Linked DNA regions of Rhinolophus ferrumequinum. The protein of the gene in region 1 purifies or fractionates together with the protein of each later gene. This does not show direct contact. Links are inferred from orthologs where the notes say so. Each region holds a gene or a part of one and is shown on either strand. Other genes may lie near its edges.

Region 1 (7,385 bases):
TCCATAGGACCTGTCACGCATTATTTATTGTCTGTTTTGCTCGGCTGGGATGTAAGCCCTGTAACAGCAGGAACTTTTAGTTCCCTGCTGTACTCCTGGCATCTAATAGTGCCAGGTACATCATAAATATTTGTTGGGTGAATAAATTTGTATACTCCTGTCTTTGATATTCCTTTCAAATCTAAAAAGAAAATTATTGCCTGGGGACAGAGGTGCCATAGTTACCTGTTCGGTGAGCTCCCTGCCTGGGACAGAGTGATGGGCCACTCGACCTTCCCTCCCCACACTCTCCAGGTGCTAATTGGTGCAAAGGGGTCAGGATGGCTTTGTAACCTGTCAGCTTGCTCCAGGGGTCTGGGAACGGGAGCCTGCAGCACAGCAGCCTGCGGCACTGGTTAGATTCTGGGGCTGCCCCAGGTTCCAATTCTATGGGTAGAAGGGCTGATTTGGTCTGCTCTCGTTGGATCTCTCTCCCGGGGCACTTTGAGGGGTCCTATGGTCTGCTGGAGTGGCAGCAGACTCTGGTCCTTCTCACTCTGCTTTACCACACTGGGCAGGATGACGGTGCTGCTCTTGGAGAGTGTCTGGTGGGTGTCAGATGTCTTAATTCTTAACTATGCATGTGACTGACAATCCAGTTCCCGCTACAACCCGACACACTACATAACACAGGTCAGTCTTCAGGGTTCAATATCAAAGGCATACACAAGCAGTCTAAACTCTGAGGTGTTCTTAACAGATGAGACCCAAGGATTCCATTCAAGTGATGCTTCTTTGCACGAATAGGGACTCTTATTTCTACTCTGGCCCATGCATCACACTGATAGAAACGTTAAGCTCATATCAAAGACAACTTGGGCTTTGATGTTTTTTGAGACATTCAAACTTACTTTTATTGAGCGAGAACATGAGACCATACCCAGGAGTCCCACTCTGTTGGGGAGGGGGTGATCATTTCACTTCTCTTCTAGCTTCGAACATTAAAAAAGGGGACCTTACTCTGTGTTCCCTGAAACTATTCATTAGGTTGATCCACATCAAATTGCTGACAGCCGACCGTTTCTGAATTATAAAAACAGCATGTTTAATATACGTATGTGCACTTTTCTTGAGAGAAGGTCCTGGTTTTCATTACACAGTCAAAGAAACTGTGTTCCCTCCTCCCCAAAAGCTGAGCCTTATAATTGTATAAATTTTCAATTTATATACATTAACACACAGACTCGTAGATTCATGAGACTAGTAAAGTGAAACATGTACTTGCAGGATACAAATAACCAGCTTTATCTGGATAACATTTAGCTGGCCATGTCTAATCCTCTCCCATTAAAAAAACGCAATCAGCATTATTTTCAAAAAAGCGTGGCTGTGCATACTCCCTAAAACAAAGTGAGAAAACTGTATACTTCCTGTGGAGATAAATATCCCAAGTAAACTGAATTCTTTCTGGTGCAAAAACTCCAATGCTTTGAAAAGGCCATTGTACTTCTGGTGTACCTGGGTGGGGGGTGAGTCCTAATAAGGAAACATGTCCCTAGATTTTCATGGAGGTTTTCCCAGAGGACGCAGCAGAATTTTACGCAGTTCACTCAAAGCCTGGTGAACAGAGTCACAGGGAAGAACTGGTGGACAATGCAAACATCCCAATCTCTAAGAAACGAGGATCCTCACAACGGTCAAACATGCTATGAGAAAACCCTCACCCATCAAAACTCCCACCCAATGGACCCAACCAGATCTAAGCCAAAACAACGCACCTCCCCAACCCAAACAAACAAAAAGCCCCAACAATTTCCCAAGTGTTTCCAACTGAAGCTTCCTGCCTCACTTGCTTCCAGAATTCCAGGCTCCATTGGTTTTCCATCCATCTCACCAAGACTGCTCCTTTTTGGTGTCCTCTGCTCATCCTTTGCCCAACCAGCTAGAGTGACCTGGTTCCTGCTGACACCCCTTTTACCCTGACATTTGGTGCTAAGTCCCTCCTCTTTCCCAGCCCCTAACTCTTTTGTACAGGGAACCACTTTGCAGACCTTTGTCCTTTCCTCTTTCCCCTCCTGAACTCCTCTTTTCCTGTCCTTCGTCCACTGTGTCATCTGCTGTCACCTCTCCTCCGTCCTTTCCCCACTGCATGGCTAGGTTCCGGCTCTCTGTCCCCCGCCCCACTCCCTTCTCCCTTTAGAGAACTGACTTGGTCTAAGTTACCTAAATCAGACGGTCACTGGGAGAAACAGAAGTCCCGATCTCCCCAACCCACCTTCTCGCGCGCGGTCCAACTCTACCTCCTTATCTTTTGCAACGACTCCCCCCCGCGCCCCCAATCCAGCAACGCACACTGCGAACACTTTGATTCGATGACCACTTAATAATTCTCCAAAGGACAAAGGTATGACGCTTACCGCACAGAAATCTTCAAGAGAGGAGCGTGGAAACAGAGTACACCGCGGGGGGGAAAAACACAAAAAAACCCAGAACCAGACGTGAACGCACCGGTAAGTGTGTGCAGACGCGTCTCCGTGAGAACAAACGGCTCGGTCTTGCTCACCCGGACGCTCCCAGCGCCCGCGGGGCCGGGCACTCGGCGGCCACCGCGGGGAAGGACGGGGAACGCCGGCGCGCGCCGCGCCGACCCCGCACGCGGCACAGAGCGGCAGCTCGGAGGGCACGCGGCGGCTCAGGGGCGGCCCCGGCCGGGGAGGCCGCGGCGCAGCGGGCCCTTCCTCGGACGCGGGAGACTGCCGGAGGCGGCGGCCCGGGCCGTCCTCCCCTCGCCCCGCACCCCCGCACCCCGCGCGCGCCCCGCACCTTGGTGTCCACGTCGGCCAGGCAGTCCCTGCGGAACTGGTCGAAGAGCCCCTGGCTCTTGAGGTGGTTCACGATCATGGCCACGAGCTGCGGGTCCCCGGCGCCGGCCCCCGTGCCGCCCGCCCCGCCCGCGCCCGGGCCAGCCCCGGGGCCCGGCGGCGGCGGCGGCGGCTGCGGCTGCGGCGGGGGAGGCGGCGGCGCCGGAGGCGGCTTCGGCTGCGGGTTGGTGGCCATGGCGGCCTGGGCCGGGAAGGGCGCGGGCCCGGCCGGCGGGCGCTCCTGGGAGGCGGCGGCTGCACCGGTCCCGCCGCCCGAGGGAGGCCAACGGGATGTTGTTACGGAACCAGCGGATCCAGAGCAACCCCGGAAGTGAAAGGGAACCGGGGGAAAGAAGGAAGGAAGAGGCGGCGACAATAGCCACGAAAGTCCGACGACGGAAGCCGCGAGGGGCCAGTTCCGCCTGCCGCCTGCGCGGGCGCCCTCGAGAGGCCGGGTTGCGTCGGGAGCGGCGGCGGGGAGGCCGAGCGGGCGGTGGCTCGCGGGGTCTGGGCCGGGGGCCGGCGTCTGGAGTGCACCGCGGTCGGGCGTTCGACCGGCGCGACTCCCCGGGCCCGAGGGCCGCCTGGGCGCCGGCTCGGAGCCGGCCCGCGCGGGGCAGCGACACGCTGGCCCGGGTCCATCGTCAGTGGCGTTTAGGCCTGTTGCTCCTTTCACAGAGCAGTCGACAGCCATAGACATTTATAATGCGTACGTGAAACTGCGTGTTCTAAACTCTCCCAACCCTCTTTGTTCTCCTGTGATCCTGTACGGTGTTCCTGCGAATAGGTAGCTCCAACGGCCCACAGTCTCTTCCCCATTTGTCCTTGGCGCATCCCTTGTCCCTGTCCGAGCACCTTCCCGCCGGCCCAGACAAACCCACGGGCTTTTAGGTCTAAGGCTTTTGCAGTTGGTTACTGTGATAATAGGCCGTGCTTGTATAGCACGCACTGTGCGCCAGGCATGGTGTTAAGACCTTTTACATGCGTTTACTCATCCAGGCTTTGCAACAAGACTGCTAAGTCCTGCTACTAGCCCCAATTTGCAGAGCCGGACACTGAAGCCCGGAGAGATTAAGTAAATTGCTGAAGGCTACACAGAAAGCAAATCACCTGATTCTGGACTGAGTTACCTTTAAAGCATTATTGGTACACGATCAAAGCAAAATAAATGTTACAGATTTTCATAATTATTAAGTAGATGTAAAATTGATTGGAAATGCATCTCAGTGAAGTGGATATTACTGCTTTTTAAAATTCATGTCTGTAGATGAGTATGTCTTCTTATTGCTAGAAGGAGAAGGGTTGTACATCAGTTTATTCCTCTTTCTAGTTTTTATAGCTGAATGCCCCTAGAAACCCTGTGCTTATAAGCATGTATTGTACCTGGCAATATAGTTTTATCGTAGCAATGTCACTCAATTCTTGACCTCAAAAAATTAGATTTGATGATCTGTGAGCTGGCTATTCAATTAGGCCCTCCAATTTTGTTGAAAGTGAAGAGTTGAAAACCATCTGACTTGCCAAAGGATTTGTTTACCTAGTCATATTCTTTCATTTTTTCAGTTTCTGGGAAATATACTAAATAGGTTTTATCAAGACATCAAATGACTATGATTTAGACTTTTTTTTCCCAATGAGCTGTACCACGTTAAACCTGATATACTCACACTTTGGGGGAATCTAAACATTCTTTCTTGATTTTCATAAATAGTTTTGGATAAATTGCTTTTTGTTGTTAGCTGGTTCATTTTTGTTTTTGCCAAAACTTTGCAGCTCATTCAGTGTGAAACTGTCAAGTATGAAAAATGTTTTTCATATAACCTAATTAACAGAGTGCGTGTTCATCATCAAACTAGCCAAATTGGATATTATTTTCCCTCAGAAACAGTTTGACTTCCTTGTTTCAATTCAAATAAAGCATCATGCATTTTGAGGGAATATAATGAAAACTGCAGAAAGTCAAAGTCAGGGAATGAATCTTAAAAGATTTATTACTAAAGCAATCAAGATTAAAATGGTGTAAGATATAATTGTTTTATTCATTTTAAAAATTAGTTATGAAAACAATGTGAGAATATGACATGTTGCCTTTACCTAATTACCAACAACATAATACAATATTTTGCTAAATGTATGTTATTTATTAAGTGTAGTATAAAGAGCATGGTATTTTTTCAGTGCATATAGATGTATCTGATTTGGCTTTTTGGGAATAACTAAATAAGAATCTTCCATAAAAATTCAGCAAAACTCCACAAATTTAATTAGGTGTAATGATCAAACTTAAAAAATAATGAAACAATAAGGTATTGCTGCTAAAAATTAATTGGTTCAGTGACTGGAAAATAATTTTATGTGTGTGAACAGCATACAGAAAATAGTAAATATTTTCTAAAATGTAATAAGGTGAGAATTGATTATAACTTATTCACAATTTATTTTATAAAATGTACTTTAACTGCCTTATTGAATAACAACCTAAAAGAAATGACATATTTGTGTTTATGAGTCCAAGTTACACTGGGTATACATATACTGGATATAGTGTAACTTGAACAATTTACTACCCTTAGAAAACACTCTGGTTGCATTGAAAAGAACCAGGGTCACCGATCTTTACTGCTGTGGCTGTTCAAAGGTGCTTTTCTTTATACCTGAAGACAGGTACTAAGGATGAGTATTGTGAATACCTGGGCAGGGGGAATAGAATACATTTAAACCTTAAAAAAAAAAAAGCTATTAAGCAGTCATCGTTTCCTACCAGTGACATCTTTGCTTTGTTCTCTCTGTTTCTTTAGAAAGAGTAATATAATTGACAATAGTGAGGGTATGGAAGAGATGAGTTCTCCAAAAACAATTACCATTGCTCCCCTGCCCGACTGTATGTATGTCTGACTTCAGAACATCCTAACAAGGATCAAATACCTTCTTCCTGAATGTGATCAAGCTCTCATTTTATTTCCTAAATCTGATGCTAAGGTGACAGTTAAACAAACTTTACGAACACTTTGGGAATGAGTGGAACAGTGGTGAGTAATTATGGCAATCACTGTGGTAGCCATTTGTATCCTTGGGCAACAGATTCCTGCCAAGTATCTGGCTCCTGTGATTTCCTTTTTTTTCTACAGTCCAGCCCCCCCACCCCCCATCCAATCCAAACCCTGTTCCTGACGGCTAATCCAGTGAAAGTCAAACATTGGTTTACAGTATGATGCTCTCCTAACCCCAGAGATCCCATCTGCGTGTTAGGCACACTTGTTTGTTTCCTTTCCCTCACATTCCAAGACCTCCCACTCCAGGGCATCCCTAGCCAAACCAGGCCATAGGCCCAGCCTTTCATAATCAAGACTGACGAGTATCATTTTCTAAAGGACTCTTCATCAATCCAAAGCCCAGTTAAACTTTGGAAGTTCACTCTTCTATAACAAAACACACTCTTAGGTGGGGTTCAAAGCACTGTAAGAGGAAGGGGAGAGGACAAAATGTGTTATTACCTTTCCAAAGCAAACTTCATGGTCTCAGCTTTTCTATTTCTACTGTAGAATAAAATAGCCGAAGACGGTGGAGTTGGTGGTTGGGCAGACCATTATAGAATATTAATGTGGGAAAGGGATTGCTTTTTTTCCCCTGCAAGAACTTGAAAGAATTGTCACTCATTCTGGGGTCAGGACATGGGGATGAGGGTAGCACAGGGAAATGGTAGGGTGGAGAGGGAGAGGGTTGGTTCTGTAGCATTTGGCAGAGACTGGAAGCCCCCTCATCCCTGCCAGTGCCCAAGAGTAGGGGTGCTTTGGAAGTGGTAGCTGTGCGAGCATGTTACCTGGAGGTGCTGCGGAATTCGAGAGGGCAGCCGAGACTTAGCTGGTGGGACGCGGAAGCTGGGTTTGGGGCAGCAAGGTAGCAGAAATGGCAACAGAGTACTAGGACTGGGTTGCATAAGCCCCCAGGATATTAGAGCAGGAACTCCAGAGCAGGAGAGAGAGCATGACGGGGGAAGAAGATGGGTGAGGAAGGCTTTCTAATGAAGTGGGACATATCAATTACCGTCGTAGTTCATACTTTATATAATAGGAGAGTCCAATGTGGGCAATCAGGAAGGCTAGCAGTGGTTCCCAAACTTGAGCACGCAGCGGACTCTCCCAGAGGGCTTGTTAAAACAGTGCTGGCCCCATCCTCAAGTTTCTGACTGGCAGGTGTGGGGCAGGGCCTGAGACTTCAGATTTTTAACAAATGCTGATGGATCACCATTTGGAAAACATTGGACTAGACTAAACTGCACCCTCCAGGCCTAATCTGCTTTACCTATTTTTAATAAATAAAGTTTTATTGGAACATAGACACATTTATTGGGTTTGTTTAGTTTCCAGTCAGTCTATGGCTGCTTTTGCTGCAAGGACAGAGTTGGGACAGACTGTATAGCTTGCAACGCTGAGAGTATTTACTGTGTGGCCCTTTAGAGAAAACGTTTGCCTTCTTGAACTGAAAGGAGGCAGCAAAGGTGGGGTTGTGAGACTCTGAAGTTGGGCAGCCTATATTTGAGAACTT
Region 2 (8,175 bases), on another chromosome or scaffold:
GCTCTCGCCCCATTCAGCCCGTGCCCTCTTCCTTCCCACATCCTTTTCACCCTCTCCATCACCTTCTTCTCAGATTTCTTCTCCCGACGCTTCACATGCTTCACTTTCACTGCCCTCTTCCGCAGCGCAGGGTCCAGGAATGGGGACTCTTCTGTGTCACTCATCCAGGGCTGCAAGTGAAGCATACAGTGACCCACCTGCCCCACTCATGACTTCCCCACCACCTACTCAGTTCCCAAATAGCCTTCCATACCATCTGCCTCCTCTCTCCTCATTATGGATACTCTGCTTCTGTAACCTCCCCCCTTCCACCCTGGGTGGCTCTGCCTGCTCACCAGGCCGTGGTCATCAAAGGCTCCCGCACAGAAGTCCTGGTAGAGGTCAGGGTCCAGTGGTAGGTCCTCATCTGAGAGTGGCTCAGGTGTGGCCGTAGCCTCAGGTGGCTCCTTGACCGCGGATGACGCCACTGACCCCTCGTCTTCACGGATGCGTCCCAGCTTCTGTGATGGCTGTGGCTGCTGCTGGGTGGGCAGTGGCCGGCGAGGCCTTGGCAGGGACTCTGAGGGCGTCACTGGCGAGAGCTGCAGGGCAGAATCTCAGGACTGGCCCTGAATAACCTGCCCGCATGCCCCGCCCCGCCCTGGGGGCTGGACTCACCGAAGGGAAGTACTTGTACGATTCCTGTGCCGGCAGGAGAAGGCCCAGGTCAGCCCCAGGTGGATGGAGGGTGGCCCTGCCCTAGCCTTTCCCACAAGTGCCTGGCCCCCCCAACCAGCCCCTACCTTGCCTACCCAGGCACACCTGCCCCCCCACCCCTCATCACTAGGACATGCTGAGCCATGTTCCTCCTGCTCTGACATGTCTGACGACCTAGAAACATCTGGCCCTACCCTGACTTCCTGGGTTTGGGGGTCTCCCCTGCTAGCCCAGCACACCTGGCCAAGCCCCATTCACCTGGACAAGCCTGGCTCCTTTCCACCTGTCTCTATGCAGTTAGGCCCCACCCCACCTAGCCCACCCATCCTAGGCTCAATGAGCTCTTCCTGAACACACTGGCCCCCTAACCTGACCCTGCCCAGCTCTGCCCATGCTCACCCGGGCCCGAAGCTGGCACTGACGCAGCCGGCACTTCTGCCGGATCTTGTTGGGGCCCCCAAACTTCTTCATGTCCCGGCAGAAGTCACAGTGGCCACAGTCTTCAGTACGTCGGCAGGCCTCGCACTCGCCACACATGCGGGCTGACCGTTTGATCTGCTGCTGCTGCTGCTGGTGATGCTGAAGGAAGGGGCCCAGAACACAAGTCAGGAACCCAAGTTGGGCCTGAGATGGGATCACCTTACTTATCCCTGCCACCACAGCCACTCACCTGGCTGGGTGTGGCCACCAAGGGCTGTGGAGAGGATTTGTGGGGCGAAGCAGAGCCCCGAGCAAGCATGGCCCCAACCCCTGTCCCTGACCCCGCCCGGCGCTGCAGGTCTGGATCCGGGGCAGGCCTCTTGCGCCCTCCACCCTCATCCCGGGGCTCACTGCCGTCTCGCTCATTGCTGTCCCGTTCCCGTGACTTCTTGTGCCGATAGCGGATCTCCAGCTTGGGGTCTTTCTCTGTAGAACAGAGGATGAGGCCGGGGAGGCTGACATTGGGGATTTGGGTTATCCCAGAACTCTTTTTCCCTCTTCTTTCCTGTCCCACCCAATGGTCTGTCCCCCTACTCCAGAGTACAGCTGCCCCCTCCAGTGTGACTCTCTATTATTGCTCACTACAGAACAATCACTCTGCCCACAGACACGTATCACTATTCCCTGAGACCCAGCCTCCCATTATGGCTCCTTCTCCTCCCTCAAAGCCCCACCTGCTTACCCAGTCCATTCCACGCGCCCCTCACCTCGGCACTCCCGACAGTACCATTCCCGGATGGCCTTGGCCATCTTCTCAGTGATCCGGATGCAGTCCCCATGGAACCACTCATTGCAGTTGTCACACCCACTGCAGAGGATGAGGCGAGTGGTGCAGATGTGAGGGGCGGGACCCATCGGCCTCACCCAACCTTGCCAGCTGTCAGTCCCGCCCACCTCTCCCTGGCTCACATCATGAAGCAGTTGATGTCTGGTTTGCGGCAGATGCAGTAGATGGGTGCATTCTCCCCATTCTCCGACTTGCTGTCCTCTCCAGCATCTGGAGGCTCTGGATCTGAACCGTCACCCTCCTGTGGGATCCCCCCAATTATGGCTTCTTAGAGGACCCCCATCATAGCATCTTCTCCCTCCATTATAATTTCACCAGGGCTCACCATAGACCCCAACACTCTGCCAACAGAATTCCCATCTTGGCGCCTCATAAATCCCTCCGTCATGGTCCCCACAGACCCCCACATCAATCACCCCTGACACCCCATTACTCTGCTTATAAACCCCCATTGCTCAGCCCCAGACCTCCCATACTTACCTCGCTGACACCCCATCATCCTAGCCACACATTCATAAAAGCTCGTTACAAACACCCTACCGCTCGCCACACACTGCCCCCACTGTGGCTCCTCACAGACCCGGCCCACAACGCGTTCTCACAAACATCTCGTAATTCAGCTACAGCCTTCGCATCACAGCTCCCCACACATCCCGCGTTATTAACCCCACAGTCACCCTCGCCCCCATCCTGGTTCCCCATGGACTCCTTGATACAGAGTCACCACGGTGCACTACAGACTACCTAACATGGCTCATCGCAAACTCTTTATCACTCTGCCCAAAGAATCCCCCATTCGGACTCCCAAGGAACTACCATCAGGGTTCCTCACTAAACTTCTATTACGGACACCCACAATGGCTCATCACAAAATTCCCACATGGCTCACGTATCAGAAAAACCATCAGACCATCCGACAGTCATCATTCCTCCCAGAGAACCCTGTTAAGGCTCTCCACAGGCCCCCTCAATTCTGCCCAGACTCCAGTTACGGTTCACCACAGACCCCCCACGCGTCTGCCGAAGGACCCCACCATTACCAAACCCACTAACCTCTACCGCCAACCCTCTCCCGGGACCCCGTACTCACCATCTCTCGACTCTCTGCGCACTCCTTCGCGGTCCCCGCCAGCGACCCGCGAACCTACACCACTCTACGGTGTCCGCGGCGGTTGCAAAGGTGCCCACAACTACTTCCGCTTCTGATTGCGCCTCCCGGGCACCGTACTCCTATTGCGCAGGCCCAGCGCATCGGCTCCATAAACAAACAAGTGGTCGCCAGCCTAGAGCCCGGACTGTCTCCTAGGCGCCGCCATTTTGACTACCGAGGCCGTTTGGCGGCCGAGTCCATACGTTTCGCAGGAAACATGGCCGTGCCTGAGCGCGCTTACTTGTGGGCGCCGCCACCTTGTTGGGCGAGTCCGTACGGTGACCGCTTGTACGGTCTCAAAGTTGGAGGCAATATGGCCGCGCCTACTGAACGACTTCTATGCAGACGCCATCATCTTGGAATGTGATTCCGTAAGATGGCCGAGTCCGTACGTTCCCAGGCAGCACATGGCAGCGACCTATTCGTGGCTTTCACCGGGCGCCGCTATCTTGAAGGTCGATTCCGTACGCCTGTACCTTCTACTGCAGAGAAGTTCACACTGCAGAGAAGTTCACAGGGAAAGCGGCCGCTCCTAATAACACTACTTGGATCCAGTCGCACTCGTTTCGCCATTTAATCACTTTTCCTTTCCGCATGTGTTAATGGGGCTCCGGCACAATGTCTTGCGCTGCGAAGGAAAGCAATCCCACTATTAGGTTTTCCACGTCACTTCCCGCCACTCTTTCCTGCTCGTGTTCCTTGCAGTTCCTTAACCAGCCCTTGCACGGTTCAGTCGCTGGACCGTTGCAAGAGCACTCTCACCCCGCAGAATTAGTCCCGAGTAAAATGGAAGGCCATAAACGATGGTGGCCTGACCATCTTTGGTGAGAAGTAGCCGGACCGAAGCAGATTTTGAAATCAGAGACAAACGGCTTCACCAAATCATCCCCTCACCCCGCCACTGTCAGAATGTAGATTTGCCTGGTTCCTGGTGGTGTCCACTTTGGTTCTCATTTCATACCTCTCCAACAGTCGCTTCAATAAAGGTAAATTAACTTTTTAAAATTTAAATCGTGTACAATAAAGAAAATCTGTGCAGGTCAGAGAGCTAGACGTCTCCTCAGAGTAATGCTCTAAACTGGAGGACAGTGAAGGTTAAATGAAATACAACATGTCTGGGTCATTATATATTCCCCACTTATAACCATATTCCTCTCCCTCCAAACATCACCCCCCAAACACACTAGAGCGGGAATCACCGTCATAGTAAACGTCCACATTCAAAGTCAGGACTTCATTTTGGATTGAGAAGAAGAGTCTGGAGAAAATGGGATTTTTTACCATTTGCTGACAGTTTTTCTGGATTTCTTGGCTCTGGAGGTAGTAGCAACTTATTTGCTACTGAGGATTCTGCTGCTAGTGGCTTAGGAGGTCCGATTTTTTACCCCCACCTTTCCTAACATTTTTCTTCATTGTCCTCTCCACAGTGTCACAGACACATAGACAAAGGGGCCACTACATAGGTTCTGTGACCTTCTCTTCTTAAAAGAGGTTTTTAATATTTTCCAAGGATTAATTCTTTGTTTCATTGTTTTTCTCATCCCTATTTCATTAATGTCCACTTTAATCTTTACTATGACTTCCTTCTGCTTTGGGTTTAATTTGCTTCCCTTTTATTTACGTTGGAACTCTAGATTATTGATTTGAGTGGAATGGACTTTTAAAAGAGAAACTAGATAAATGAGCGATCAAAACTCTGCTTCCAGTAAAGCTCATAGTAAAATACATAGTAATGTGCCAATTCCAAGAAGCGAACCTCCAATTTGATAGAATATTCAACCTATTGTTTGGGGAAGGTATTAAGAGACCCTAACTGGCTCTAAGATCCAAAGCACATTATTAACCTTCCTAGCTCTTCTTTTATCCTCCCATGCATACCTCTGGGAAATTGTGCTACTACCTTATTTGCTATCAGTGGCAAATAAGAGCAGGGTGGGAGACTCAAATGTGCTATTACCACTTGACCATGCATAGCTGAATCGGGCAGTTGTGCATATTGTTGGCAATGATCATGTGTATGAAAGTTCTAATTTTATCATTGGTAACAAATACCATCAATTGTTTTATTTGAAGTGATGGTCTCTCTTGGTTCATATTTTTTTAAATGTCTGCCAAAATAACAAATCTAAATAACTTGTTCTTTCAGATAAAAATGATGTTCCATGAAAAAAAGTGGTTAGTTCAGCTCACAACTCAAACCATCATAGAAGTACTTTTCCTCAAAACAACCCTTCCACTGTGGTATGCAGTAGTGCTTCATGCTGCTCATTTCATCACACGTAATATTAAAATGATAGATGTATTGGGAGCTGCTCAGTCGCCTCGGGATCAGGGCAGCTGGGCTCTGAATCCGAGTGATCACAATCTGCTTCATCCTCATCCAGAACAGGGCAGGCAAGATATGCCTGGCCAAATGGTACATGCAGTTTGATGATGATGAGAAACAGAAGTTGATCGAGGAGGTGCAAACCGTGATCACTGTCCGAGATGCCAAACAAACCAATTTCCATGATGAGACAGGTAAAGAGTTAACAGGAACGAGCTTGTGAGTTAGCAGGAATGAGCTTAAAAATTAACCACTGGGCTCTGAATCCCCTGGAGGCTAGCTGTGGAAAGAGAATGATTCCCAAGGGAAGCCAACTGTAACGGCACTATCCTGCAAGCTGACAAGCAACTTACATCTATCATAGATGGGAACAGAACAGTTCCCAGAAGACAATTACAACGGCAACCCACTGCAAGCTGACAGACACCCTACATCCTGCATAGAAAAATATAAAATCCCTGCAGACTGCATAGAAAAATATAAAACCCTACATCCTGCTAGAAAAATATAAAACCCCTGCTGCAGCTGTCTACTCTAGACTCTGCCCAGCTGACTCTTCCTCCTTTTTTACTTCAATAAATCTTCTTTCTGCATTTCTATGTGCCTCGAGAATTCTTTCACAACTGGAAAGATAGCAATTGTCGTGTGACGCCTTCAGTGCGCGTGCATAGAGCCCCCAATAAACTTGTGGTTCCCACCTGGGAAAAAAAAAAGATGTCATTTCAAGGGTTGAGATTTAATAAAATTAGCAATTTTTTTGCTAATTTTATTGCTTCATCAAAGATATTCTTAAATGGGACTGGATATTGTGTGTGTGTGGTAAGCAATGTGGTTAATACTAGTGCAGTTTAGAGCAACTGCCTAGATATGTGCTAATGTGCCTGCAGTTTTAACAACCATTGATTTTACCGCTTTTGGTACAAATATTAATGTGGTGAGAAAGAAAAAAAGTCCTAATATTATGAAAAGGTTTGACCTTGCAACCCACCTGAGAATATCTCAGGTATCCCAAGGGGTCCACAGACAACACTTTGAGAACTTATTTTCTATAGCACAAAGATTAGTATTAATGAAGTACTGTTGGATATTGTTGATTGATTGACATTGTGGACAAAAAGGGGTCCTACAGAAAGTAATCCCACAGGGAGATCTGATCACAAATTCCTAACTGGGCAGGTCCTGATGGGTAGTCACACCCCAGTCATATAACTTCTTTAGTAAAAGATTTGTCTTAAGCAAGCCCTGTCCATTGTTTTTGTACATCTAGGTTAACACATCTTTGAAATAAGCTTAGCCACCTTCAAGAGAGCACATAATCTTAACTATCCTGTAATCCTATCCCCAACTTGCTTTTTCCTGCCTTCATGTAATCTCCTCATGTTGCCTCTTTAATTCAAATGCATAAAAGAAACTGCAAAACTGTTACTCTCCAAAGCATTAGAGATTTTGCTTCCTGGCAATTATCAGTTTGGCTTAAATAAATTCTTATAAAAATTCTTTACAGGTTTGGATGTTTCTTACGTTGACAGTTACTTGGAGCAGTCGGCAGGATTTTGAAGCAGGTGGTCCCCAGGACCACCCTGTTGACTCAGGCCCAGTGCGAGGTACAAGCAAAGGCCCATCGGCTCCCCTCTTCACCTCCAGTGAACTTGAGTGAGTTTTCTCTTGGAATCCTGGGCCTCCTTGCTTTAGGTAGCGGATCCTGACTTAATTTGAATTGTTCTTTGAAAATCTTTGAAGTGGATAAGGGTCAAGACAACCCAGGGAAAGAAGAAATAATGGGGGGCGGCTTTTAATTTCAGCTTTTTAATTGGATTACTTACTGAGAGTCTGAACAGAATCTTTGCTGGTTAAATGAGAGACTGAACTTTTTTTTTAAATTGGGTAATATTGGGGAACAGTGTGTTTTTCCAGGACCCATCAACTCCATGTCAAGTCGTCGTTTTCAATCTAGTTGTGGAGGGCACAGCTCACTGGCCCATGTGGGACTCAAACCGCTGACCTTGGTGTTATGAGCACTGCACTCTAACCAACTGAGCCAACCAGCCGCCCGAGACTAAATTCTCTTTAGCTCCAAAAAAGAAAGGACATTTTCTTCCCTAACCTTCCCTAGCCAATGGGTGTAGGGGGCAGGCTGTAAGCTGACAAGGGCCTTGCAGCCTCAAGGTCACTCCCATGGGAAGCCTTGCCTCAACATCTTCCCAGAAAGTACAAGATAACACTAATGCAGCCACAGACACACAAACTTGCCAATACACAAAACAGAATGTTCTACTGATACCTGCTTGTTCTGCTAATAGTTGCTTGTGTAGACAATTGTTCTAAGACTGTATATAAACCGTGTGTGAAATAAAGACTGCGCCACTGCTCCACCATCCGTGGATGGTGGACCTCCCGATCCCAGCTTTCCTGTCTCCACGTCTCCTCGCCCTTCCCCCTCAGGCTGAGCCCTCCTGGCCGCTGCGGGCCGCAGCAAATGGGGTGATGATAGTTGTTTCAGAGTAGCAGAGATAGTTGCCACAAACAGTCCAGTGTGGTAATACAGCATATCCCAGAGAAACCAGTGGGAGCCACACGGGGAGAAGGGCAGGGCACTCTGGAGTGGATTCACCCCAAGAAAGGGGTGTGTGCCTGGAAAAGTGCCACAGTTCTGGTTACGTCCAGTAAGCTTTCACTGGCTTTTGCTCTGGTATTCTTGGGTGACTAAGAATCTTTGGGGGGTTGCCTGAGTTTCCT
Region 3 (7,288 bases), on another chromosome or scaffold:
AGTGTATGGAACACAGGTACGCAGTGGCAAAGGCGGAGGTGTGTCAGTCATATGTATCAATACGCAAGAACACAGACTTGGCAACCGGAGTAAACTCAGAGAATAGTGAAATAAAAAAGACAAAATGACAGCACAGCGGAGCATAAAATGGAGAAAGGAGGCAAGGAAACCAGGTGAAATGAAATGAACACGAGTCTACATTACAGAAATAGCAATGAAGTGGAATTATTAAGGTAAAAATATACGTTTAGGAAAAAGAGTCAGCAGAACTTTGTTACAGATGATGTGATAAATGAAAGGAGAATCACAGAATGGTTCCCGGGTGTCTAACTTGTGCAGCTGAGTAGATGGAAGGGAGAGCAGGATTAAAGGGGGAAAGGGAATTTGCTTTCGAGTCTGAGACGGCCGTGGGGCCTCCAGGTGGAGCTGTCCCACTCCCAGGCACCTATGTCTGGAATTCTAGAGACTGATCTCATCTGGAAACCGAGATTTGGAAGTCATGGACATTTCAGCAATAGTCAAACTCATGGGTGTGAAAGAGATTGTCCAGGCAAAGTGTACGAACTTAAAAAAAGAGGGGTGAGAGAACCCAACACACGATTTACTTACAAACGAAGAAGAAGAAAGAGTTAGTGAAGGAAACTAAGAACCACCAGTTTTCTAAGCCCAGCCTGTGGAGTATCCTGCCTGGTCAGGAAAATGGGAATCTTTGAGGAAACGTGATGGAGGATCCAATGGCCAAATGAAGGGTGAGGCACAGAGGACTCCAGGGATGGGGTTCCTGGCCTTGACAGTCCCCTTAACCGTTGAGAACCTGGGGTATCACACCAGGGCACTGTCAAGCTGTGCACTGTCTAGAATACAGAGTGACAGGGAGAGCAACTGAGCCTGTCTTTATAATATCCTTCAAGAAGTCGACACTCCTGCTTGGGACCCCTCACCTATACCTTTCTAGAATGTGAACCACACCTCCTGTCTAGAACAATCCCCTCACAGCTTCAGACACTGCTAGACCTGGCTGAGACCCTTTCATCGGAAAACTCCCTTTTATTGGCTACAGTACGGCCAGACAGCGAGGACGGACCCCCACCCCCTCCAAAGGCCACCACACCAGGACACCAGCAGACACATACCTTAAATTTAGGGACTGGGAGGGAAAAGTCTCTGTTTTTGGACCTGACGTGGCAACGGGGGTCTTGGAGGTCTTCGACCGGTATATACTTTGAGTCCTAGAAAGGAAAGCAGGGATAGAAAGCACACGATGTGAAACCACATTATGGAGCGCGAAGAAGCCCCTCCGGAGACCCCTCTGCAAGAGCTGGCTGCTGGGTACCCACTTTTTAAGCCAGCAGGTTATGGGCACAGACGTTCTGGGGGCTGCACAGAGCTAACCGGAGAGTGGGGCCGAGTTCCCCGGCTGGCAAGGAGCGGCCCGGGGCACTCACGTTGACACTGAAGTGGACTCCATCGTAGCGGTACACCTTTTGCGAGGGCCTGCGCAGGGCAGGGTCCAAGGCAGGATCCACGATGAGCTTGTAGTTCCTCCACTGGAAGCTCGGGGCCTTCTGCCCATCTCCCCCACCTTCCTGATCCATCTTTGCTCATTTACACTGTGAGGACAGAGGGACACGCAAAGAGGGGGGCGCGGGGTCAGGTCTCAGGCTTGCCTCCCTTGCTGCCCCTCACCGACCAGCCCAGACTCGGGGTCCTCGCATCACCCCAGTTTCCCCACCTCCCCATGACCCGTGGCGGCCCCCGATGTCCCCCCAAGCACACTTTCGCCACGACACCCCATTCTCTCTCCACCTCCCAACTCTCTTCGCGGACCCCAGGCCCATCTCGCGCCCCGGCTCTCCCCAGCGCGCGCCCCACTTGGCCTCGGCGCAAGACCCCTCCCCCGCCCCCTGGCAGGCCCCGCCCCCTCCCGCCTCCTCACCGGCCAGCGGCCCGGGCCAAGCCCGGCTCCCGCTCCCACACACCCGCTCGCGTCCCCGCGCCCCGATCCTCCAGCCAAGAGGTGGCACCTATTCGGGGCGTTGGAAACACCGCGAGACCGAGCCCGAGCCCCGGCTTCGGCCCCGAATCGGAGCAGGGAGGTGGCAGGAACGCGCGCCGCTGCCCTCTCCTCCCGCCCCGGCGCTTTCTGCCCCCCCCATCTCCGCGCACGCGCGGCGCGGCCCCACTCACCCGCTCGTGTCGAGCGGCTCCCCCTCCCCCCACCCCGCGCAGCACCTTAGTGGCGCGAGGCGGCGGCTGCGGCGGCAGCGCGAGACCCGGCCCCGCAGCGGTGGCGGCGGCGGCGGCGCCCCCCCACCACCACCTCCCCGGCGCGCGCACCAAACACCACCGCCACCTGCGCGAGGCCCAGCGGGCACAGTGTCCACATTCGCACTTTCGCCACGGGCGCCACCGGGAGACCCACGGTGCCGAGGATAGCGGTTTCGCCTCGGCCGGCGCCCTGTAAGGGTCGAGAATTGCGGCCCAGGGAGCCTGGAGACGGGCCGCATCCCCCGGAGAGTGGGTTTCTCCACGGCTATCCAGCTGCTCGGGCCTGGGGTCGTTGACGAATCGGCGGCGACGAAAGCAGCGACTAATCCCTGAGGAAAAGGGGGCGGGGCGGAGGGGAGGAGGCCAGCCCGAGTCGGGGAGAGGAGTGGTGCGTTGAACGGGCGCAGATTCGTCAGGCGGGCGGGGCGAATGGGTGGACGGGACGCGCGCTCTTTCGCTCCTCTTGCCTGCCCCTTCCTTGCGCGGCCAAAAGTCTAAGAGGCTGCAGATTCGCCACAGGTCCCGGCCCCAGCTGTTTCCTCCCTTTCCCCGCCTTGGTGGAGTCAAGAAAAGAATGCCTGGTTAGCCAAGCCCTGTTGGCAAGAGTCGGCCACTTTTTATGGATCTTTCTCACTAGCACAGCTCGGGGAACTGCCCAGTTCCGACCCGGGGGAGATAAATACGGCCCAAAGCTCCTCTCCGAGTCCCATGAGAATTTTCGGTCGAGCCCAGAGGCCTGAGTAATTCTGAGGAACCGGCCTAGCGAATCTGCGAATTCTCCTGTGGGCGGAGCCAAGGCGTCGTGCGCAGAGGGCGTGGTCAGAGCGTACCGAGGCCGGCGTCGCGGGGGCGCTTCCTGTAGGACCCACCGAAACGGGGCGGGGTGGGAGGGGCTCCCGGGAGGTGAAAAAATACAACGAACGGCGGTGACTCAGGCCGTTTCCCTGGCGCCTCGCGTAATGCAGGGAGCGGTTTCCTCCCGTTATCCCTCTTGGGCCTCTCGCAGTTTAACGTGCCCACTTGACAGATGGGGAGACTGAGGCCTGCAGAAGGTGCCACATTTTCCCCTGCTCGGCTCACCGTTGGTGCTTAAATCCGAGGCTGTCTTAAAGTTCTGTGGTAAACTTGGTGCGACCTAAAGGCCCTTAAGTGGGTCCTGTAAGAATTAAACTAGGTTTTACGGGAACTAGGGTGGGCTTGTCGACTCTCCAGGCATCACGGTCCCAGTGCCCGCCGTTTTCAGCCGGTGGTGGTGGTGGGGGGGGTGCCTATGCTTACGCGGTCCCGCCGCTGGAGGGCAGCACCAGCACAAGCTTACACCGGGGATCCGGGGCTAAGCCCGCCCTGACGCTGGTCACCCTCTCTTGGATGCAGGGTGTCCCGTCTCCAGATAATGGCATTCCCAGGAGGCACCTCTGCCCTAAGACCCAGACATCTCTATATACAGCTCTTGCTGTATGACTTCTCAAAGCTTCAGAGTCTTCCTCTGAAATGGACATTAATCCCCGTCACGCAGGACTACCGCAGGTATCAGAACAGCACAGGAAAAGCCCCAGAAGCCTGGTGCATGCAAATTCACCATTTTAAGTAACAGGAAAAGAGCAAAGGAGACTTGTTCTCAAGACCTCACACCCTAAGAATGGAAGAGAGAGGATTGGGACGCTTTAAATATTTGAGGGAAACGAAGCTGGAAACAATTCATTTACGTGGAAGCACGTGTGATGAGATCATATCCCTTTTTCTTGTCCCAGTGGAAAGGTAGGGGCTCCTTTTCTCAAATCAGAGATTCCCCATGTGAGGGTCAAAGTAGTCCTAGTTTTCACTGACTGGCTGTGTGGCTCTGGGCACAAGCCTGAGTCTCGGGCCTCAGCGTCCTTACCTTGGAAATGGAAACAAGAAAGACGTCTCGCGATGGAGGTGAGGTCTCAAGGAGATAACCTAAAAGCTCCTCATAGGTAGCAGTCACTCAAGAAAGAAACTTATACTAAATCCTCAGTGGAAGAGAGAGCACCTGGGCTCGGGAACCAGCGTGCCAAAGCCCTTTGCCTTGGAATAACTCAGTCTCCACCTGCAGAAGCTACCGGCCCGTCAGCACCAGGAAGGGTTCACACCTGGAACCCACTCTCCCCCAGCCGTGCCCCGCCCCCAGGTACACTGGCCTCTGCTGGGCTTTTGGGAACAAGTCGCCCGATCCCAAGAGACCTCCCCTTCACCCCACTCAGAGCCACAGGGACATCTGTGAAATACAATTTATTATACAAAACAAGGTGCATCAAAAATTCAGTGTCAGGATACCAAAGGCTCGGGAGGGGCTGGACCTTCTCCTTTAAAACCTCACCCCAACCCTTGATAAGGCAGTCAGTCTGGGGCTCACAGGCCCTCGGTCTCCAAAGACCCCCGTGCCCTCCACCCCCAATCCTGGCACAGAAGAGTGAGAACCAGTTATAGAAGCATCCAGTGTGGGTCTAGGGAAGTTGGACAGGCGCTTGAACCTCCAAAAACAGGGAGGCTCCTTCTAGGAGAGGCTGGACCTATGCCAGGGCAGAAACGCCCAAACCCCTCTCTACAGCAGCTACAGCAAGAGTGTGGAACCCATCAAAATCTGGGGATGGGAAAAAGCTTCCCAATAAATGGTAACCACAAAATAGATTCTACAAAAATAATAAAAGCCAGGGTTTGCTGCCTTCTGGGCAGCTGGGAGGGTGTGTCCTATACCGGACTGCTACGTCTTGTATAGGGGCAAGAAGTAGCTAAGGGTCAGCACCAAAGGTCTGACCAGGGTCTCCCTGCCTCCCCTCCACCTATCCCAGGAGCCTGGACTGAGCACTTTTCACTCGCTCCTCCAAGCCAGTATAGAGCAGAACTTACAAAGCCCATGGAGCAAGCTGACAGGGAGAATCCCTTGGAATGTGGGAGCTGCTCCAAGGCCCCGCCCACAGGACCCTGCTGGCAGGAATCTGGTCTCTACCTGAGAGTGGCCTCAGGAAGTGGCTCCAGGCAGAGTCAGGGCAGCGGTCGGCAGACCTGGGATCTGTGGTTGAACCCGGAGGGAGGCAGTGTTTGTAGAGGTGGCCATACCAGCCTCACACAGCCTGCAGCTCCCCCTGCAGGCGACTCAGCTCCTCTAGCTCCTGCATGTGGCGGTCTGTCTTGTGTGCCACCAGGGAGCGGTAGAAATGCAGAGCAAAAGCCACAAACACAAGCCCTACGGGTACCATGATTGCTGTGGAGGCCATGGCTGCTTGCCAGCCTGGTCCATGGGCCCCGCCGCCACAGACCTGCCGGGGTGGGCAGGCCTCAGACGTCTCAGCCTGTGGCGGGGTCACAGGAGCAGAGGATGGCTTGGAAGCGGGACTAAGGGAGGTGGCCACGGGTGGCAGAGTCCCAGGCACGTGGGAGGGTGGTACCACGGGGGCAGGCGTGCCCACGGGGGCCCCAATGGGCACGAACTTGACCCAGCCCACCAGGACAACTTCAGCAAGGAAGAGGAAGGTGCCCAGGGCAGTGGAGAAGCCCCAGGCCAGCTCCACATAGCGGTGGAGTCGCTGGTGTGGAGACTGGTGGACAGAGTTGAGGTTGTGGATGTTGCTGACAGCTTCAATGTGGGGCAGCAGACACGTGGAGACCATGAGGGCAAAGAGGTGAACCGCCACCAGCACAGTGGTGCAGGCACTGAAGGCCACCAGCAGGCCTGGCGGGTATTGGTAGTTGTTCTCCAGCTGTACCTCCACCATGGCCACCTGTGGGGACAAGAGACCACGGACTCAGCGCTCGTAACCTTCTCCACATAGTGGGATCTGCCTGCTGGCGCATATCCCTTACGTGGCCTTAGGCCCTAGAATGGTGGCTGGCGGGAGGAAACAAGGCTCCCAGCCTTTGTTGAGTGCCTGAAGGGGCAGCCTTGGCAAGGCTCTGGCCTGTTCTGGGTCTGGGTTCTCCCACCGAGCTATCAAGAGGGCTGGGTGACATGTTTCTGACGATCTTACCTCGTTACCACACACGGGTTAAAAAGCACAGGTTCTGGAGCTAGGCTGCCTGGGTCCCTTCTCAGGTCCACAAGCGGTGTTGTGTTGAGCAAGTGACTTAGTTCTCTCTCTGTGCATCAGTTTCCTCCTCTGGAAAATGGGGATTAATACCAGTACCTACCTGCCTTACAGGGTCGTTGTGAAAACTGACTGATGGTATATACATCAAGTTATCAGAATAGTGCAAGGCACGAGTCAGCACTAGGTGTTTCGGTGATTATTGGAGCCAGTGCCGAAGTGCAAGGCCAGAGTTTGCAAACTGGCACGCTATGAATTCAAGCCAGCTTGCAGACATGTTTTTCTTGGCTCATCCAGTGTGTTTCTTAAAGAATTAAGTTGCCAACTTTTAAAACTCAAGAGATTTCATATAAATATTCCTATTTCCAGATCCTCCAGAAAATCTGACAGACCTGGTTACACCAGGCCCATATTCCGGCGTGGACACTAGCAGCTAGAGTTGAGTCACAGCTGCTGCCTTGGGACAGGTCACATATATCCTCAGGCCCCACACAGCCAACTTGGTATCCATATTACAGGCCTGGCCCTTGCAAACATTTGATGATCCTGTTCTAAACTTGTATAAATTTGGACTCTAGAACCAGACTGCTTAAGTTCCAATACTGCCACTTACTTGCTGTGGGACCCTGGGCAGGTGTCTTAACATCTCTGATCCTGCTTTCTCACCTGTAAAATGGCCATAGTAACGGTACCTACTTCATTCGATAATAGAAAGATGATAAACACAGAAGCACTACCAGCCTGATACTTAGTGACAGTTTAGTACTATTTTTGTATGTTATTCTAACCCAGGCCACCGGGATTCCAGAATCTGGATATTACCCCAGCCTCGTTCTTGTGGGATCCATTAGATTGCTCCGGGCTGAGGGAAGGAGGAAGGTGCAGAGTCTGGAGAGTGGTAGTAGGAAGACAAGTCTGAGTATTTTGGGAAATTGGGCCATGACGGGTGTTAGCAGGTGTCTTCCACAAACGGATCT

What was found.
Region 2: the proteins of BOD1L1 (region 1) and CXXC1 purify together in Homo sapiens (affinity purification with mass spectrometry; 5 studies listed by BioGRID and IntAct, counting the BioPlex papers as one, with this or other methods). This does not show direct contact. The link is inferred for Rhinolophus ferrumequinum from reciprocal best matches to the Homo sapiens genes BOD1L1 and CXXC1.
Region 3: the proteins of BOD1L1 (region 1) and SETD1A purify together in Homo sapiens (affinity purification with mass spectrometry; 3 studies listed by BioGRID and IntAct, with this or other methods). This does not show direct contact. The link is inferred for Rhinolophus ferrumequinum from reciprocal best matches to the Homo sapiens genes BOD1L1 and SETD1A.

The regions. Positions count from the first base shown.
Region 1 is NC_046288.1:80,190,142-80,197,526, reverse strand, and holds the start of BOD1L1 (biorientation of chromosomes in cell division protein 1-like 1), read right to left. Parts: upstream 3,153-7,385; 5' UTR 3,037-3,152; coding exon 2,803-3,036; intron 1-2,802. UniProt on the Homo sapiens protein: Component of the fork protection machinery required to protect stalled/damaged replication forks from uncontrolled DNA2-dependent resection.
Region 2 is NC_046302.1:41,097,438-41,105,612, forward strand, and holds the start of CXXC1 (CXXC-type zinc finger protein 1), read right to left. Parts: upstream 3,279-8,175; 5' UTR 3,057-3,278; coding exon 3,054-3,056; intron 2,205-3,053; coding exon 2,086-2,204; intron 1,985-2,085; coding exon 1,884-1,984; intron 1,603-1,883; coding exon 1,367-1,602; intron 1,276-1,366; coding exon 1,096-1,275; intron 682-1,095; coding exon 658-681; intron 582-657; coding exon 336-581; intron 171-335; coding exon 63-170; intron 1-62. UniProt on the Homo sapiens protein: Transcriptional activator that exhibits a unique DNA binding specificity for CpG unmethylated motifs with a preference for CpGG.
Region 3 is NW_022680357.1:380,911-388,198, forward strand, and holds the start of SETD1A (histone-lysine N-methyltransferase SETD1A), read right to left. Parts: upstream 3,022-7,288; 5' UTR 2,354-3,021; intron 2,309-2,353; exon of another isoform or gene 2,188-2,308; intron 2,094-2,187; exon of another isoform or gene 1,937-2,093; intron 1,611-1,936; 5' UTR 1,596-1,610; coding exon 1,446-1,595; intron 1,230-1,445; coding exon 1,134-1,229; intron 1-1,133. Other genes in the region: ORAI3 (protein orai-3), read right to left, coding at 5,352-6,008. UniProt on the Homo sapiens protein: Histone methyltransferase that catalyzes methyl group transfer from S-adenosyl-L-methionine to the epsilon-amino group of 'Lys-4' of histone H3 (H3K4) via a non-processive mechanism.